2 linked regions of the Cricetulus griseus genome follow. The protein of the gene in region 2 purifies or fractionates together with the protein of the main gene of each other region. This does not show direct contact. Links are inferred from orthologs where the notes say so. Each region holds a gene or a part of one and is shown on either strand. Other genes may lie near its edges.

What was found.
Region 1: the proteins of Ptp4a2 (region 2) and Cnnm4 purify together in Homo sapiens (affinity purification with mass spectrometry; 6 studies listed by BioGRID and IntAct, counting the BioPlex papers as one, with this or other methods). This does not show direct contact. The link is inferred for Cricetulus griseus from reciprocal best matches to the Homo sapiens genes PTP4A2 and CNNM4.

What each region holds. Positions count from the first base shown.
Region 1 is NW_023276807.1:11,723,082-11,733,476, reverse strand, and holds the start of Cnnm4 (metal transporter CNNM4), read left to right. Parts: upstream 1-4,990; coding exon 4,991-6,818; intron 6,819-10,395. UniProt on the Homo sapiens protein: Probable metal transporter. The interaction with the metal ion chaperone COX11 suggests that it may play a role in sensory neuron functions. May play a role in biomineralization and retinal function.
Region 2 is NC_048595.1:23,180,719-23,190,110, reverse strand, and holds part of Ptp4a2 (protein tyrosine phosphatase type IVA 2), read left to right. Parts: intron 1-930; coding exon 931-1,023; intron 1,024-4,680; coding exon 4,681-4,811; intron 4,812-6,185; coding exon 6,186-6,260; intron 6,261-7,608; coding exon 7,609-7,717; 3' UTR 7,718-9,392.

The DNA.
Region 1 (10,395 bases), on a different chromosome or scaffold from region 2:
CTCTTGTTTGGTCCTATGTGACCTTTCTCTCGGTTCCTCCCCGCTTCCCCACTATTCTCTACAGATCTCCCTCTGGAGAAAAGGGAAGAGAAGAACACGACTGTGGCCAGGGTTAGGTGGAGACACACGGTGATTAAAAAAGAATGAGGGCATCTAGGGAGGAACCCACTATTACTGTTTTGCTAAATGACCATGTTGCCAAACTGCCTTTTAAATATTTATGTCTATGCCCATAGATCTGTGCTGCTCTCTCGTCTGTCAGTGAAGCTTCTTCTTGTAAGGGGACTCAGAAGTAGTCAAAGTGCTGAGAATAAGTGACTCTGTTCAGCCCTAAATGGGACATCTATATTAACAGCTCCCTCCTCCATATGCACCACTAAGGCTCAGGGAACATCTTGCGGTGTGTGTGTGTGTGTGTGTGTGTGTGTGTGTGTGTAAAAGCAGGAGGGTGGAGAGCAGAGCTATGAAATGCTATCTTCTGGACATGACATAGTCACTACACTCAAGAACTAATAGCTGTTGTGGTTCCTGCACAAGATCAAGCCAGTCAAAATTTTGGAATGGATGGGTGAGTGTCTCATGAGACCCCTCACCCTTAGCTGAGAAACTATTGGTAGTTGATAGCTGGTGGGGAAGGAAGGGTAATTTCTCTTTGCCAGTGCAGCCGCTGGTAGGTTGCCCAGGTTCCAGGCTATAGCCCCACACCCAAGCACATATAGGTAGCACTAATCTGACTTGGCAGCTTATTAAAAATGGGGTGGGCATGAGGCTGGAGGGAGACATATTGTGGGTTGCAGGTCCAGTTGAAGAAGGGAGTAGATATGATCAAAGTATATTGACTATACGTATAAAATTCCTGAATAATAAATACATTTTTTTTCAAAGCAAGGGACAGGGGCATGCCCTCTCTAAAAATCCTGGCTACATCATTTGTATCATGACCATGGTCACTGAGCACATCTATTTCTTGCCATAACCTGTGAAGACCTTACCAGACATCATCACATAGCATTCCAGGATGTTCCAGAACCCCAGACCTCATGGGTAGTCTGCAGCCCCCAGTGTGCCTGCAGAACTCTGAACCCCAACACTGCAGCATCCAGTCTCCTGTGGTTCTGCCCCCAAGGAGAATACCATGCCAGGTGCCTAAGGGACCTTTGAAACCTACTTACCCAACTAATACTGACTGTCTTTTGGCTTTGTGGCTGGCAATTCCTGCCTGGGACACATCCTTTCTTTGGTCTGGCCCTCTAACCTGATGTTTTCACTTTATTCTCTGACTCAATGAAGTCAGAAATCATGACACTCTCTATACCTAGATTCCCATGCCCTCACTTGCTGTGATGATTTGAGTTGGGATTTCAGGTCATTTTGTCCCCATATACAGGGAGAAAGGTCCCTTCCCTCCTGAGACAATACAGTGATTTGGACATGTCCTACAAATAACAAGAACATATGTAGGCTTAGGCATAGCCTAAAGTGCTATGCCTAACAAGAACATATATAGTGCATAGGCTGCTATATGTGCTGATGATAAATGCCCCATTGCCCCAAACGGGCTTTCCACACCAGGGTCCATGATATAGCCTAGCTGACTGCCAGCGTGGGTTCAGGACATGCTGTAGACTCTGGGCATCATTGCTTTTCTGCCTCCAGTTCCTTCATCTTGGGAACCTAGAAGGTGACGAGGCTATGAATCCATCTTGGTAAGGTTAGATCCTGGTTTGCCAGAGTCCTTCATCATTCAAACCCCAGCATTAGTGTGATGCCAGGAACAAGAAAAGGAGTGACACTCCTGGAGGTAGCTTCATTGCCTAGGACTAAAAAGAAGTGCTTGCAAATATGGGAGAGATAGACATACTGCCATAGGGTCTACACTCACAAGGGACCATCCAGGTCTGAGGAGCTCATGAATGGAGGGGTTTGAAATGCTCATCACTTAAGAAGGACCTTCATCAAACTCCTTACTTGCCAAAGGAGACAACTCAGATAAGTAAGGACTTGCCACCCCAAGGTGGAGACACAGGTGCCTTTCTCTGTCCCCAAAGAGAGAAGTTTCTCCATGCTCACAGTCATCCACATTTCCTGATGCTGTATGCTATAGATTCTTTTCTATATTACTCTTTGAGAAAGTATGGCAGATGCCCTACCTACAGGTGCAAACTGACAGCCACAACCACTAAATTGCAAGTCTGACCTCCTCTGATATCTCTTATATTACCATTTCTTTATTTAATTTGTGTGTGTGTGTGTGTGTGTGTGTGCGCGCGCGCGTGTGTGTGTGTGTGTGTGTGTGTGTGTGTGTGTGTGTGTGTGTATCTGAACTCGCCTATGAGTACATGAAGTTAAGAGGTCAATGTCAGTCATATTCTTCTACTATACTCCACCTTATTTTTTTGAGACAAGGTCTCTCACTTACTCTGGAGCTCACTGTGTTTTGGCCCAGGGATCCTCCAGTCGTCGACTCCCAGTGCTGGGATCACAGACAGCTTATTTAACAAGAGTGCAGAATATCAAACTCAGGTCCTCATGCTTAAAATGGCAAGCACTTTAATAACTGAGCCATCTCCCTGGGTCCCATCAAGAGTTTTTTTTTTGTTTTTTTTTGTTTTTTCAAGACAGGGTTTCTCTGTGTAGCTTTGGAGCCTATCCTGGCACTCGCTCTGGAGACTAGGCTGGCCTCGAACTCACAGAGATCCGCCTGCCTCTGCCTCCCGAGTGCTGGGATTAAAGGTGTGCGCCACCAACACCCGGCTGCGTTCATTTTTTATAGAGCAAGTTCTGTTTGCTCTGCCAGATCAAAGAGGAATTTCATTTCTTTTTAGATTTATTTAATTTTTGTGTATGACCTTTAATCCCAGCACTTGGGAGGTTTGGATATATTATTATTATTACTGGTGTTTTGAGACAAGTTTTCTTTGTTTAGTCCTGATGTCCTGGAACTTGCTCTGTAGACCAGGCTGGCCTTGAACTCACAAGAGATCTGCCTGCCTCTGCCTCCTGAGTGCTGGGATTAAAGGTGCATGCCATCACTGCCCAGCTCCAAATTTCATTTCTTTACTTCATGGACTCTACTCTTATTCTCCTAATCACTATGGGAATCCAATAGTGAGTTAACCTGATTTTAACAGACTGTGTGTTTCTTAGCAGACCCTTGCATTGTTCCTATCTTGCTTTCTTTATTCTGCTTCTTTACATCTACTTTTAACCCAGTAGTCAAGTGCTTATTTTTCTTTCCCTTTGTTGGCTTCTGTTTCTTATACTGAGTGCAGCGCTCAGTATAAGTGCAGCTTATACTTATACAGTGCTCGAGTGCACAGCCCCAAAAGAGCAAAATAAAAATAGTCAATTGGTCGATAATAGACTGGGAAAGTTTTAAGGACAGAAAGAGCGGCAGGGGCCAATGGACAACGGATGATGAGGAGGCCTGGGAGAAGATTTTTCAGGGACCTGGGGTGGCTTTCAAACAATTCAGGCCGCTCTTCCTGGTTGGAGGAGACAAAGAGGGGACAGGAAGTCTTGGCCAGTGCCCAACCTGAGGCTACTGTTCACTAAAAATCTAGTCTTCTGGACATACTGTATGTGCGAGGCCAGGCACCTCCTGACAAGGAACTTCCTCCAGCAGGCTGTTTACAGAACTAGGCCCTTGATGCCAGAGCATTAAATCCAGCTTCTGCTACCAGGTCTCCCCCACAGCACTGCATGAGTGCTCCCTTCTGTTTAGGCTTTTTGCTGCTGGTATTGATTGCTGCTTTTATTGGCAGACTGTGTACCAAAGTAAAAATAAACACGGGAGTTTGTACAGGGAGACAGTGAAGGGCTTTCTGTGTCTCCAGGGCCTGGGGAAGCCTTGCTGGGAGATTCAGGGGTCAGCCCAGTCCCTGCTGTTTGGTGTAGCTCTACAACTAAGATAAGGATGTTTGTCATCCCGTGTCCTGCCCTTTACAGGGCGGACAGCTGTGGGTGGATAGCTGTGGTCATCCTCACACACTCAAGTCATAGCTGCTGAATGACATCCAAGTAGGGTTGTCCAGGAAGCAGTGATCTCAAGGCTAGAACAGCAACCACACCTCTCAGTTAGTTTCCACATGCAGCTGCCTCAGCTGGCCAGTCACCACAATTTGGGGTTAAGGATATGGTTCTGAAAGAGCAGGCAGCAACAACTATTACTACATAGGCAAAGCCTATTCGCAGAGAGTTGTCCTGTCATGTTCAATGTGTAAGTCAATTGTTCCCACATACTTAGTCAGGTGGTGCTGTGTTATCATTATTTCTGCCATCAAAATAAAAACTAAAACTATAACTAAAAAATACAACCAATCCAGGCATGGTGGTGCACGCCTGTCAACCTGCACTTGGGAGGTAAAGGGAGGAGGATCAGGAGTCAGTCTCAGATTTTGAGAGTTCAAAGCTAGATCTATAATTGGGCTACATAAGACCTTGTTTCAAACAACAACAAGAAGAAAACCAAACAACTAATCATTCTTACTGTCGTTTTCACACATGAAATAGGATTAACGGTGGAGATCTGAAAGGTCTAGGATTTGTGCCTAGGTTCTTACAGATGCAAAATACTTTGTGTTGCCAGAAAGATTCAATAACTATTCTGTATGTGTTTATTTGCTTATTGCCTTTTTTCCGGTTTTAGGCTGTAAACTAAGGTGGGCAAGGATTTTGGCTCGTTCGTTGCTGTATCGTCAGAGCCTAAAACGATTGTCTGGCACACATTGGGTATTCAATGAAAACCCATCCCTAAATAGAAATGACAGGTGGTAAACCTAAGTTAGAGCCTGGCCCCTTTAGGCGCCTTTAGAGGTTGGGTAGAGAGCCCTTAGGAAGAGCGAGTGGTGGGCTGTGGGGTGCGGGGAGTTCGGGGGCAGTGACAACCTACTTCTGACCTCGGGTCCAGATCAGCAAAAACCCCACAAGTGAGGAGGTTGTAATGCCAGCCCGAGTTCTCAGGTTCCCTTTTCTTTTTCTAAATCAGGAAATGCATTTTCCTCCCTGTGCTCGCAGCGAAGCGCCACCCGACCCAGAGCCGAGCTACAGGGTGCAGAGGACCCGCAAGGAGCTGGGCGTTCGGGGCCTGGGAGCCGGGTTCCCTAAAGAGGAGCGCGGGAGAAGCCGGGCGCCTCGCGGACGCTTGGCTGGGCGCACCCCCGCCGCAGGCTCCCGCGTTCTCCTAGCGCCGTTCCACCTTAAGCGCGCAGACCTCCTTAAGCCGGGCGCGCGAGCGCGGGTAGGGGCGGGACCTCGCATGCAAATAAGGGGCGTGGGGCGGCGGGGCGGGGGCGGGGCGCGGCTGACGTCAGGCCCGCTGCTGGGGCAGTTGGCGCGGCGGCGGCGGAGCGGCAGGAGGGAGGAGCGGCGGCGCCGAGTGAGGCGCGCGGCGGGGCGCGGGCAGCGGCGGGGGCCGGAGCAACATGGCGCCGGGGGCGGGGGCGGGCGGCGGGACGGCTGGCCGGCCCGAGGGCGCCTCCTCCTGGCCGCGCTGCTGCTGCCGCTATGGATGCGGGCGGCCAGCGGCCAGAGCAGCCCCCCGCAGAGCGTGATCCTGGGCATGAGGCTGGCGAGCTGCAACAAGTCGTGCGGGATGAACTCGGATGGCATCATCTTCGTGTCAGAGGGCAGCACGGTAAACTTGAGGCTCTACGGCCACAGCCTGGGGGCGATCTCCAGCAACCTGATCTCCTTTACTGAGGTGGACGACGCCGAGACGGTCCACAACTCCACCAACTGCCTGGAGCTCACCAAGGACTTAGTGGTCCAGCGGCTGGTCAACGTGAGCCGCGGGAACACGTCGGGGATGCTAGTGGTGCTCACCAAGTTCCTGCGGAGGAGCGAGAACATGAAGCTGTACGCACTGTGCACCCGGGCCCGGTCTGACGGGCCCTGGCTCAAATGGACGGACAAGGACTCCCTGCTCTTCATGGTGGAGGAGCATGGGAGGTTTCTGCCGCTGTGGCTGCACATCCTTCTCGTTTTGGTGCTCTTAGTGCTGTCGGGCATATTTTCTGGCCTCAACCTGGGGCTTATGGCCCTGGACCCGATGGAGCTACGCATCGTGCAGAACTGTGGAACTGAAAAGGAGAGAAGGTACGCCCGCAAGATAGAGCCCATCCGGCGCAAGGGCAACTACTTGCTCTGCTCGCTGCTCCTAGGGAATGTGCTAGTCAACACCTCCCTCACCATCCTTTTAGACAACCTCATCGGGTCTGGCATCATGGCAGTGGCCTCCTCCACCATTGGCATTGTCATCTTTGGGGAGATCTTACCTCAAGCCCTGTGCTCCCGACATGGGCTGGCTGTGGGTGCCAACACTATTGTTCTCACCAAAATCTTTATGCTGATCACCTTTCCTCTGAGTTTCCCCATTAGCAAACTCCTGGACTTCGTCTTGGGTCAGGAGATTCGCACTGTTTACAATCGGGAGAAGCTGATGGAGATGCTGAAGGTGACAGAACCCTATAACGACCTAGTGAAGGAGGAATTAAATATGATCCAGGGTGCCCTGGAACTAAGGACCAAAACTGTGGAGGATATCATGACCCAGCTCCACGACTGCTTCATGATCCGCAGTGATGCCATCCTGGACTTCAACACCATGTCGGAGATAATGGAAAGTGGCTATACTCGCATTCCCGTGTTTGAAGATGAGCAATCCAATATCGTAGATATCCTTTATGTCAAAGACTTGGCCTTCGTGGACCCTGATGACTGCACCCCGCTCAAGACTATCACTCGCTTCTACAACCACCCGGTTCATTTTGTTTTCCATGACACCAAGCTGGATGCCATGCTGGAGGAATTCAAGAAGGGTAAGGACCAGTGTAATTCCTGGTTAAATGTCCTTTCGACACCTCTTGATCCCCCTGAAGCGTCCCCTGCATGTTCTGTGTCTGCTGATTTTACTCTTATTTGTGTGATTGGTTCTGTGTCCCTTCGTCCATCACTTCCTGTGCCTCTGAGGCGAATGTTACCAGGTGCAGCAGAAACAGTTCTCAAGCCTTTGCCGTCTGCCAGGTACTGTGCTTTGTGTTTTTAGTTGAATGGAAAAGAGACACATTTGTCTGGAGCTGGGGGAGGGATACACAGTAAGGCTCATGTCTGTAAAGAGGCAAACACCAGGCCTCTTGGAGATTTAGAGGGTGAGGAGGGGAAGTAGTTAGACAGCTGAGGATGTCACAGGGAAGGAAACATTTGAGAGGACTCTTAAAAGATGAAGTGGCTTGATCTTAGCTCAGACCCCTCTTGTGAGGAAGCCAAAGATGTGCTTGTGGCTCAGCAGGTGGTCCTGTCTAGTGGACCTCCTCCTGGCTCTGCTTGTCAGTGACCACCAGGGGAGCACACCTCTTCCCAGTTTGTTCCCAGGTTGGAGCTCTGGAAGATCTGGGGGCAGGGGCGTACCGTCAGTCGCCCTCCAACCCACAGAAGCATTATTGGGAGGTCTCTCCTTGGCTTCCAGACTCAGAACAATGCCAAGTAGTAGTTTCCACTGTTTGGCAGAAGCATGGAGACCAACCTTGGGTTATTGTTCCACATAAACTTGCCCCACCACCAATCTTGAGCTGGCCTTGCACTGCTCGGGTGTGTGTGTGTGTGTGTGTGTGTGTGTGTGTGTGTGTGTGTGTGTGTGTGTGTGTGTGTGTGTGTGTGTGGTGTGTGTGTGTGTGTGTGTGTGTGTGTGTGTGTGTGTGTGTGTGTGTGTGTGTGTGTGTGTGTGTGTGTGTGTGTGTGTGTGTGTGCTAAGGTGTGCTTGGCTGGTTCCCAGGTAGAGGGTTTAGGGTTTACTACCCTGTCTCAAAGCTCAGGGCACACACCCCTTTCCTTATTCCCAACAAAGACTTCCTCCTCTTCTTCTATCCTGAAACCCTCAAAGTGTCTGTAAACAAGGTGATTACGGGGTAAAACCCTCGCAGGCTGAAGAAGGTGAGGCAGGGCAGAAAGGGCAACTCTTTAGAGAAGAACCTGGGGCTCATTTTGTAGGGACTTTTCTTCATAATCTTGGTCCCAACCTTCTTCCCATATGTAGAGCTGTTTCTGGCAAAGGCCCAAGCTAACCTGGGAACCACTTTTGAACCCTAGTTGTGTATAAGCCTGCGGTCATTTCTGAACTGGAAAGTGGTGGAAACAGTCTTGAAGTGGGATCAGGAGAAAAAGAGATGGTCTTGCCAGATTTGGTTTAAGACCAAAAGGTGTACTTGGGTCAGGCCAAAGGGTCAGGTTGGTACCCTCTCTTTTAAGTGTTCTAGACAGATCTCAGCATCAGAGCTAAGAATGTCTTGAGGGTTATAAACCAGGACAGGAGATAGTCTGGGTGGCATGGAAGGAGATTTGAGGGTACAGACCTAGGATCCTGTTTTGCCCAGGGTCAGAGTTGGGGCACAGGGGCAGTGGGGAGTGTGTCTTACCTCCATCTTACAGCTCCCTTCTCACCTGCCTCTGTGGTCTTTGAGGTGGTTACTGGTAGCGTATATACCCACCAGTACCTCTCAATCAGTGTGGTCAGATCTGGATGCAACTAGTATGGATTTGCTTAATTTGGTGTCCAGCTCCTGATCAGCAGGGCTGCTCTGTTCTGTGGGAGCATGCTGGGTCTGGACAGGGCATTTTTGGATGCTACTCTATCCTGTGAAGAAGTGAGCTAGAAAAAAAAAAAAAGAAGCTGGCATCTCTTTGACCAGAGCTCTTCTGGTCCCCCCCCCCCCCACTTTGATCCAGGACTTTCCGGAGTATGGATCCCAAGCAGTTCACAGAGAGGCAGGTGCACTCTACCCTGTGTATCAGGACACTGGAGATGTCAGTGTGATGGGGTGGCCACCCCTTGTGAACAGACCCTGGGCCTTGTGTGGCGCCTTCCTGGCCTTAGGAGACCAGTCTTAGTTCATACATTACCACAGAGGTGCCTTGTCATGTCCGTACCTCCCACTGTGTGGCCTCTCCTTGGTCTTTCCATCTGGTCCCTACTGCTAGCCTGAGGCTGCCTGTGATGTGGCAAACAAACCGAGTGTGCACTTAGAATATAAGCGTTTCCTTCCAAGTGTAGCGTCTGGAAGGCTTTTTGCTTTTGTTATTAAGAAGGAACAAGCGATCACTTCAGCACCACCAGTGTTATGCCAGACAGAGTGACATATTTTAGGGTCTTTGCTGGATCTTTCACCTCCAAATTGTGTGAAGGCACTGGACCCAACTCTGCTGGAAGCCTTCTGCCTAGCTGTAATTTTCTGTCTGTCTGTTTAGGTTTCTGTTTTGAGTCGGGGTCTTGCTTTGTAGCTAAGGTTGGACTTGCCTCTCAAGTGCTAGGATTGTAGGTGTGTGTCGCTAAGCCTGGACCAGGTTCTTTCATCTCCACTCCCCAGCTTTGTAAATTCGTTGAGTGTGGGACCGACTCTGCCTTATTGGTTTTCATCACTGAAAACACAGATGGGGCCTCAGCGAGCGTTAATTGAACAAATGAATGGATGATTGTCTGCCAGGTTTCTCAGGCTTTCCTGTTCTTGAACACACCTGGACACTCCCACTCCAGGGCTATTCTCCAAGAGAGCTAGAGAGGCTCCCTTTCCCCATCTTGCCTCTTCAGCACCACCTCCGTGAGACCTTGCTGGTGCCCCGTTTAGGCCTGTAGCCCCCACATCCCATCTGCCTTCCCAATCCTCCACCTTGTGCTACTTTTTCCTTTCCTCATAGCGCATCTCACTGCCAGCTCTGGTGCTCAGTGGTTTGCTGTGTTGTCTGTCTCCACCCAGTACAATATAAGATTCCAAAGGGCAGGCTCTCTGCCCTGATGATTGTATCGATAGCTCTGGAATGGCCCTTGGCACATAGTAAGGCCTAAATAAATCATTACCTAGTGAATGAATGACTTGTTGGATTTGGGAGACGGTTGTTCCTTTTCCAGAAGTTTTAGAATTTTGGATGGAGTGCTGTGGCACCTTCATCTGTACCAGGAAAAGCCAGGGGGTTCCTATGATAATGTCTTGATCCCAGGCATGACAGTTTGGGGCTCTGGGTGTGATGCTTGAGTCCCATTGCCAGTTGTCTCCCTTTTGCCTGCTGGTAAGCCATCTTTGGCCATGGGAGGTTTTACACAGCCTCCTCATTAAGATGAGTCATGAAATGCCCCTGCTCAGCAGGGTGTGGGGAGCTGAACTCCCCTAGGATTAAGGCAAAGAATTCTGTCTGCTTCCTACCTCAAGACAGTTAACATTAGATGCTTATCAACCTTCCAGCCACATTTAGGACAGGCTGAAGGTGCTTTAGGGACCTCAGGAGTAAGACTCTCTGTGGCATGAAGATATGCCAGTTAATCAAGGCCACCCAGATTCATGTAGTTTGAACCTTGGCCCTTCTACTGGAACCTCGCCTAGAACTGTTTGCAGTACTGGGTGTTGGGAG
Region 2 (9,392 bases):
AATCCAAACAAACCAGCAAAATAACATGAATCAAAAACATTGAATTGGCAGGGCATGGCAGCACTCCTTAAATCCCAGTATTTAGGAGGCAGAGTTCAAAGCCAGCCTGGTCTAGAGAGTGAGTTTTAGGACAGCCAGGGCTGTTATACAAAGAAACCCTGTCTAGAAGAATAAAAAACAAAGCAACAACAATAAAAAACATTGAGTTGTTAAATACCTGGCTTTTAGATCCCCCCCCATATGTGTGTATATTTATAAATACATATATATATAAGGCCATATCACATATTTATAGCTATTCCCCCAATCTCTAGTGTTACTTTATAGCTGTCATAATATCTGTATATAGGTGTATCATCCCTCCCTTAATCATTCTCTTTTTTGGGAGAACATTAATAAACATTTCTACTGTTTACTATTCTGTTCTACCTATAATGAAGATGCTGTATAAGCTGTTCTTACTACCTCCTTTCAGTGAAATCCCAAGAATAGAATTTCTAGGTCAGTGTATGTATGAATGTTTAAAAGGTTTTGTGCTTTGCTAGTACATTGCCCTTTAGAAAGATGACTCTTCCCACAAGGAGTATGTGTGGTGTCGTCCCGTCCCCGTGCCGTCCCCCCCCCCCCAACTCCCCTCTCCAGGGTTTCTCTGTAACTTTTGGAGCCTGTCCTGGAATGAACTCTGTAGACCAGGCTGGCCTCGAACTCACAGAGATCCACCTGCCTCTGTGTCCCGAGTGCTGGCATTAAAGTTGTCAACAGCACCACCTGGCTAGTGTGTGTAATGTTTATGTATTGCTGCAGTGAGATCAGTTTTGAGCTTTGCCTAAGAATGATACTGCGTAGTTTCAGTTTGTAATAGTACATTTCTAAAAACCAGGTTTCAGATCCCCAGAAACAAGTTCCTTGATAACTTGTTTTTCTTTAAAGGAACTTAAGAAGTATGGAGTGACAACTTTGGTTCGAGTTTGTGATGCTACATATGATAAAGCTCCAGTTGAAAAAGAAGGAATCCACGTTCTAGTGAGTGTACAGTGTCTTTGTTTGTTTCTTCAAATAGACATTTTCAAACACTGATATTTATGAAGTTGGTACTTTTGATAGCAGTCTTCTAGAGTTTCTTTGGGTTAATACATAAGCAGCATTATTCATTGTGTGTTTGGAGTCTACAGCTGCAATGTATTTTCAACAAACAAGGCAAAATTGAGCACACACTTATTTCTAAAACATGGAAATTGGGGACTGGGGAATGTCTCAAGAGAGTGAAGTGCTCTGTCAAAGCATGAGAACCTGAGATTGGCCCTTGGAACCCAAGTTAAAAAAAAACATGTCTCAAGAAATTTTAGAAAAAAAAAGAGGGTGGGTATGGCAGCACCTGCCTTTAATTCCAGCACTGAAGAGGCAGAAGGGAGGCTGTCTTTGATTTCGAAGTCATCTGGGTCTACATAGTGAGCTCTAGGCCAGCCAAGGCTACCACAGTGAGACCCTGTCTCAAGAGCCCCCCTCATCCCCCAGTGAAGATTGTCATTTTTATATTTTGGAGATTAGTGCAGTATTCAGCTTTTGTTTCTGGCCTACTAATTTTAATATAATAAAATAATTTCCATCAGAATTACTTCATATGGAAATATCTTCTCCTTTTTGTAAGTACTAGATTAGTGACTTAGTATTTTGTGGATAAAAAGGCGGGAGAAAAAGCTAAAGGCTGGGAGAAGACATCCTGGTACAGAGTAGCTCTTTGATAGGTTTCTTTAAGAGCTCTAGTAGGGTTAGAGCTAGTTCAATTCAGTTCAAATACAGAGCAAGCATGTTAATGATGCTGTTTGTTTACAGAGAATAAGAGAGTGGACTAGCTAAAAAAAAAAAAAAAAACTCTTACCATTTCTCTGAATAATTGCTCTTGAACCTTTGTGAGGGAGATGTGGTAGGAAGAGAACTGGAGCTTTTGTAAGTAGCTGGGGAAAAGTAATAAGGAGAGGTAGATTCTGTGGTCTCAGGTACCAACCTGATTAGTAGCTTGGAAGGCAGTTGATGCAGATAAATTTCCTTGTTGGTAAGGTAGTCATTTTATGTCTGTGATCCATACTTTTTTCATTTTTGCTTTAGTAAAAACATTAAAACTACCATTAACATTGTGTTTTTTTAAAAAAAATTGTTTCACTGCTTGGCATTGGAACAATTGGCTTGTATTCTATTCTCAAAGATTCTAGGGAGCTGGAGAGATGGCTCAGAGGTTAACAGCACTAACTGCTCTTCCAGATATCCTGAGTTCAAATCCCAGCAACCACATGGTGGCTCACAACCATCTATAATGAGATCTGGTGCCCCCTTCTGGCCTGCAGGCATACATGTAGGCAGAACATTGTATGCATAATAAATTAAAAAAAAATCTTAAAAAATTAAAAAAAAATACTCTAGTCCATGGGCTGGAACTGTTGGTAAGAATACATGTGTAAAATACAACCCTGTGATGTTATTTTTTGAGGCAGCCTGATGTTGTAGGTAGGCCTCAGACTCACTATGTAGTTGAGGATGACTTTTAACTGATTGTCCTTCTTTTACTTCCCCAGTGCTGGGGTCACAGGTGTGTGCTGGTGCCTTGGTTTATGCAGGGTTTTTTTTTGGAGGGGGTGTGAACCCTATACTTTATATGTACTGGCCTTGTTTTTTACTTTTATAAATAAAATTTCCATTATTGTATACATTTGTGGAGCCATCAAGTCCGTCCAGTCCTGTGTATTTTAAGGAAAGAGTTAAAAATTTTGAACTGTGGTGCATCTCTGACCCAGCAGAAAGCTGAGCAGGAAAATTACAAATTCAGGACTATATTGGTTGCAATGAAGGAGGCCAAGGCCAAAAAAACAGAAGATTCTGAAATTAAGCTAAATAAAAGTTAATTTTTCACTCTTGTGTGTTCTTTAGTAGGCACATGAGAAATCACCTTGTTATGATTAATGAGCAGCATGAGGTAACTTTGGATTGACCATGGTCTTTGAATCAGTGATTTTGGCAAACACCATAAAATAGAATGAACTACAGAACCTAAATTAGTTTGTAGAAGATAATGTTAGGTCTGGGATTTATTCCCATCCTTTAAGTTTGGCTCTCTGTTTTGTTTTAAATAGCTATGCCTGATAAAATGAAAGGTCTAACTTAAACTTGAAAAAAATGAGGTTACCTTTTCCCACACAGATTTATTTATAGTTCCCCAGTAAAGAGGTCTTTGGAAAGAGTCACTCTAGAAGGATAGTCCTCAGATAAAGACCTTCCAATTGTTTAAATGCTCTTGCAAGTCATAGGCGAATTGGGATAATTGGTGATGTCAGTATCGTTAGTGCAGGTTCTGATATTTCTAAATTATTTAATGCTTTTTTTTTTTTTTTAAGGCTGCTGTTATGTTTGCTATGCCTTCAGTCCCAACACTTGGGAAACTGAAGCAGGAGGAGAGGGGAAGCCAATCTGAGTTACATTTAACAAACAAAAGAGCTGGGAATGGGAGGCAGAGGCAGGTGAATCTCTGTGAGATCGAAGCCAACCTGGTCTACGTAAGGAATTCCAGACCAGCCAGGACTGTATACTGAGACCCTGTCTAAAAAAGTAAAACGAATGCATGCACACAGAAAGAAACTGATTGTTAGTAAAGGCAGCATGCTCTGTGTATTGTTTCTTATCCAGGTGCACTTTAAGGATGTGCTGGAGGAAGTAAGCGTCCACTAGGGTGCTTGTTTACAGTTTAACTGTACTGGCAATCATTAGTAACACTGACAGCCCTTTAATTATGAGGCATAGTTGACGGTTCAAACATTTGCTGTTAGGAAGAGGGAACGAGTGCATAAAATGTGGTGACTCCTACCCATTTATGTTGGAGTTACTAGGAACTCTTGCCTGGGTATCAAGGAAGATTAGACAAGCAGTAATGTGCTGTTTGGTAAATGCAAGCAGGGCTGAAAGACAACTCAGATTGATGGCTAGACAGAAAGGGAGACTGGATATGCTTGTGTTCCACCTTTAGTTCCAGCAATAGGGAAACAAGAGGGATCTTTAGAGTTCAAGTACTAGCAAGACTATATGGAGACCCTGTCACATCACCAAAAGGAAGAAGTGGGGAAGGGTATTTCATCACATGCCCATAATCCTAGAATTTGGGAGATGGAATTGGGAAGGATCAGAAATTCAAGTTCATCCTCAAGTTCAAGGCCAGCTTAGACTACATGAGACCTTAAAGAAAAGAGGATACTTAAAATAGTTAGCCGGGCTCATGCCTTTAATCCCAGCACTCAGGAGGCAGAGGCAGGCTGATCTCTGAGTTTGAGGCCAGCCTGGTCTGTCTACAGAGCAAGTTCCAGGACAGGTTCCAAAGCTGCAGAGAAACCCTGTCTTGAAAAAACCGGAGGGAAAAAAAGGGGGAAAAAAAAAAGGTACACAAAGCCAGGTGGTGGTGGCACGTGTCTCTAATCCCAGAACCTGGGAGGCAGAGGCAGGCAGCTGTCTGTGAGTTCAAGGCTAGCCTGTAGCTAAGACTACACAGAGAAACCTCAGAAAAAAACAAAAGAATAAGCTTAAGTGATATGTTAATTCAGTTAAGCCTGCCTGCCCTGGCTAATATTTCCAGTTCATTTGTATTAGGATGTTCGTCCCTGAGAACATACCAGTTTAATGTAAAAAGTCATTTCTTTTCAGGATTGGCCGTTTGATGATGGAGCTCCACCCCCTAATCAAATAGTAGATGATTGGCTAAACCTGTTAAAAACCAAATTTCGTGAAGAGCCAGGTTGCTGTGTTGCAGTGCATTGTGTGGCAGGATTGGGAAGGTAAAAACTCTTTAACTCTTAAAAATTCATTATTGTATCTAAGTAAGCCAACGGAAAGTTTCACCTTGATAGAATTTGCATTTAGTAACTAAATGATACTAAATTGTTGGAAAGGAAATGAGCAAATGCCAGTGTAATAAGCTGTCTTAAGAGCCAATTGTGGGGCTGGAGAGATGGCTTAGAGGTTAAGAGCACCGACTGCTCTTCCAGAGTTCCTGAGTTCAATTTCCAGCAACCACATGGTGGCTCACAACCAACCATTATGAGATCTGGTGCCCTCTTCTGGTGTGCAGATACACATGGAAGCAGAATGTTGTATACATAATAAATGAATAAAATCTTTAAAAAAAAAAAAAAAGAGCCAATTGTGTTGGGTCTGGATCTGATTCTAATGCTATACTGCATGTAGTGAGGGTCCCTGCCCTATTTCAAGAAATAAAGATTTAGGTTGTTAAGTGGGCAGCAAAATTTACATTAGAGATTAGAGTACTTGTATATATGGTTGGGTCAAAATGAAAGGGGATTTAACAGAAGGTTAGTTTACACTCTTGAGCAGTGATGTATGGATAGTGAGAATTGACTAATTTTATCATCTTTTTTTTTTTTTTCTTGCCAAGTATTGCTTGAGATAGTGTTTTAACACTTTGATCAACAGAAGGTTAAATGCCAATTTATGATGTGCACTGTGACTCAGAACTGTGAGGTACCATTGCCTTCAAGGTGGTGGTGACGTGGACCATTAGCTTGCTTAGGACTTAGTATGGCAAGGTTTCTTCAAGAGGTTCAAAGTTTCCTTCCTTCCCTTGAAGACTAAAGGTGGTGTGAGGCTTTACTAGGTGTCTTTATTTCTACAGCTTGTCTCAGGTAGTCAGAGATGGTGTCCTATTAATGTGCTTTCTGAGACATCTTTCTTGGGGCCGGGGTGGGGAGTGCAGGAGGGAATAGAGAAGCTGAGTATGGTGGTGCTGGGAGGGAGAGGCAAGGATGCCTGTGGAGTGTGAGTGAGTGTGAGGCCAGCCTGGTCTGCACAGTGAAACCTTGTCTCAGAAGAAAAGAAACTACCAAGTTGGAGGGGAGAAAAACTTGAGTTTTTTTTTTGTTTGTTTGTTTGTTTGTTTTTTTTCTCATTCCTTATTTGTAAATTGTTTTGGAGACAGAGTCTCCTTTTTTATAGTCCTGGCTGCCCTAAAACTCACTGTGTTGACCAGGCTGTCCTTAACTCACAGAGATCTGCTTGTCTTCCAAATGCTAGGATTAAAGACCTGTGTTAGCACTCCAGCACAAAGGTCATATTGGTAGCGTGTAAGCTTTCAGTTAAAAACCTCTTATAGACTCTCACGGCTGTGGGTACTTACGATGGCCTTCTCTCTGCAGGGCTCCTGTGCTGGTTGCACTTGCGTTGATTGAATGTGGAATGAAGTATGAAGATGCTGTTCAGTTTATAAGACAGTAAGTATGAAGTTGTATGTTCAGAGACCCCAAGTGGGGCTATGCATGAGGAAGAAGTTATGTAAAAGAGTTATTTGGAATAAGTAAGAACTGGATGGTTTGGGCTTAAAATAGTTTTTGAAAATAGAGAAAAAGGTAAAGGCAAGTGACAGAGAGTACCAGAAGTTTGTAAGATTTGTTCTTCTAATATAGATGTCAAATTTGGGCAAGAAAGTATATGGTTGGCTGTCTAGGAATCTTGACAATAAGTCGATTGACCAGTGCTGCTTTCAGTGGATTCCATATGACCAGCAGGCAAAAAGGAGGAGGAACAGATTAATCACATGGTCCTCTTTTCTTTTTTCTTTTTTTCTTTTTTTTTAAATTTCATGTGCATATATTTGTGAGGATGCCAGATCCCCTGGTACTGGAGCTAGAGATGGTATGAGCTGCCATGTGGGTGCTGGGAATTAAACCTAGGACCTCTGGAAGAACAGTGAGTGCTCTTAGCCAATGAACCATCTCTCCAGCTCCCATTTGGTACTCTTGAATGACCTGTTCTCATTAAAAATTACAATGGTAGTAACCTGAGATCTCTGACACTGTAGGCCATACTGTTCCTTTCTTTAACAAAATTAAGAGGAAAAAGCAGACTGACAGGAGACGTGCAATGTATGGCTCTCAGCTCTGAGACAGTGGTATCCCACTGTTTGCCACCCCAGTCTGTCCGGACCATGAGGCTTTGCCTTCCTATGTTCTAGTTTTAGTTTTTAAAACCATACTAACTACTTGTTTCTCATTCTGATGTGAAGAATCTGTTAAACTAATTGGAAAGAGTGTAGTCAGGTGTTCTTGATTAAACCCTGCTGCTCTGTTTAAATGAACTACAGTCATAGCCAAAGAAACATATTCTTAGCCAGGTGGTGGTAACACATGCCTTTAATTTAACCAAACTTGGATGGCAGAGGCCAGGAGATCTCTGAATTTGAGGCTAGCCTGGTCTACAGAATAACTTCCAGGACAACCAGGACTACACAGACAGGGGGTGGGGGCACCCAAGTTCATGTCCCAACTTTTTTTTTTCCTCCCGGAGACAGGGTTTCTCTGTGGCTTTGGAGGCTGTCCTGGAACTCATTCTATAGACCAGGCTGGCTTCGAACTCACAGAGATCCGACTGCCTCTGCCTCCCATGTGCTAGGATTAAAGGCTGGCAATGTCTCAACTTTTTAAAGTGATGTGTTATGGGGAATATGCAGGTTTTCATCTGGGAAGAGCTAGCTAGAAGGCATTATGCCGTAAGTAAATAGTATATTTCAGTAAGGCCTGCAGTTCTTTGCTACATGATAATGTACCATTATTGTATTTTCAGAAAAAGAAGGGGAGCATTCAATTCCAAACAGCTGCTTTACTTGGAGAAATACCGACCTAAGATGCGATTACGCTTCAGAGATACCAATGGGCATTGCTGTGTTCAGTAGAAGTAGAGAAATGCTGACTGGATCGTGGCGTTAGAGGGAACTCTTGGTACCTGGAAATGTGAATCTGGAATCTTACCTGTGTCATCAAAGTAGTGATGGATTCAGTACTCCTCAACTCCTAATGATTGAGAAGAGAGCAAACGATAAAGAAATCCCTCTATAACACGAATAAAATGTTTAAGAAAAGAAAAAAGAAAGGAAAAGGGATTAATTTAGTGAAAGATGATTTTGCTCCTAGTTTCGGAGTTTTGATTTCTGCCAGGATTGAATTATTTCAAAATATCCTGTGTTTTTAAAACTGTTTTCAAAATAGATGTCTGAGGAAAACCAGCAGAATATTAACCAGTGTGGAGCCAGTTGTTGGGGAGAACACACTTCCATTATGCTTGGCACATAGGTCTCCTTGTGGTGGGATTTGGAGGAGGTAGATTTTCCCCATCTTCTCTCTTTCTTCCTGCGCCCCCCCCCCAATACATGTAGATGGAGTAGAAAGAAGAAGCCCTTGTTGCAGTAGATGTGCGTGTGTCTGACAGCCTTAAGCCCACCTGGGCACTTTTAGGAAAACAATAAAAAACACCAAAAAAAAAAAAAAAAAAAGCAAGCAAAGAAAAGGCAGTACACGTTGTATGATCTAGGTGATTTTTAGTCTATTGATGGTGGGTGTTCACCTTAGTTTTCTTTTCCTCACAGCCTTGGCCTGATGTTAGGTGTGAAAGGTAGCCAGGAGCCTTTTGTTTTGGTAAATAGATAGGAAATGACATCGTAAAGAGGGTCTGTCTCCTGGAACTTAGCTGAGAGTAGAATCCTTTTTCCCAACAGTGGAACAAGTGGGCATCCCAGAAACTATTGAAGAGAGGACTTACAGGCCATCAATAGTGTGTCTAGGAGAGTTAACATATTTCCACAACTGTAGAATTGTGGGCTGTTGATTTGCTATCTGACAGTGTCATGGAAAAGCAATATCTTAACATTTTAGGACTGATTTCAGAAATAGAAGAGCAACAGAATATTCACAGTATTTTGGTCTTGAGAAATGTCTGTGGTGGTGATTTTCCAAATTACTCTCTGTATGTTAGTGTAGCCACCTTTACCATGTTATTCTTCTGAGATTAAAAAGGAAAAAAAAATCATTGTCAAAATCAGCAATGTCTAGTGAGTGTGTATGCACAGGCTGTAACAGGCAATGGCAAGCAATAAAGTGATTAGCAAAGGGGACTAAGCTCATGGCATCATGTGGTAAGCATTTTTTGGGTTCTCTGTTAAATGTGCTGATACAGAAAAGCTGTTTCTTCCTTATTTGCAGAAGACAGTTGACCAGGCTGCAATGACAAAGCAAGTGGAAAGGCGTATCCAGGGACTCGGGCACCCTCGTCACCTAAATGTTCCATACTTGACAGTGCCCTGCTACCCCAGCCCTGACTGTAGGCCTAGAATTATCTTGCCCTAGTGGAAATTTATTGTGCAGAGCCATAAGCTTCCTGTTTTGTTAGTATCGGCTAGGCCAATAGGATGGACAGCATCTCATTGATGATACCTCAGACGCTGGCAGCTTTGTGAGCTGCCTTTACTGTTGCTGGAATCGCTCTACTTTTAACTACATTCGAATCTGGAGTCCTTCCTGCCTTATCCCAGAAAATGAAAAATAATGCTTTTTTGATGTTGTTTCTAGAATTTT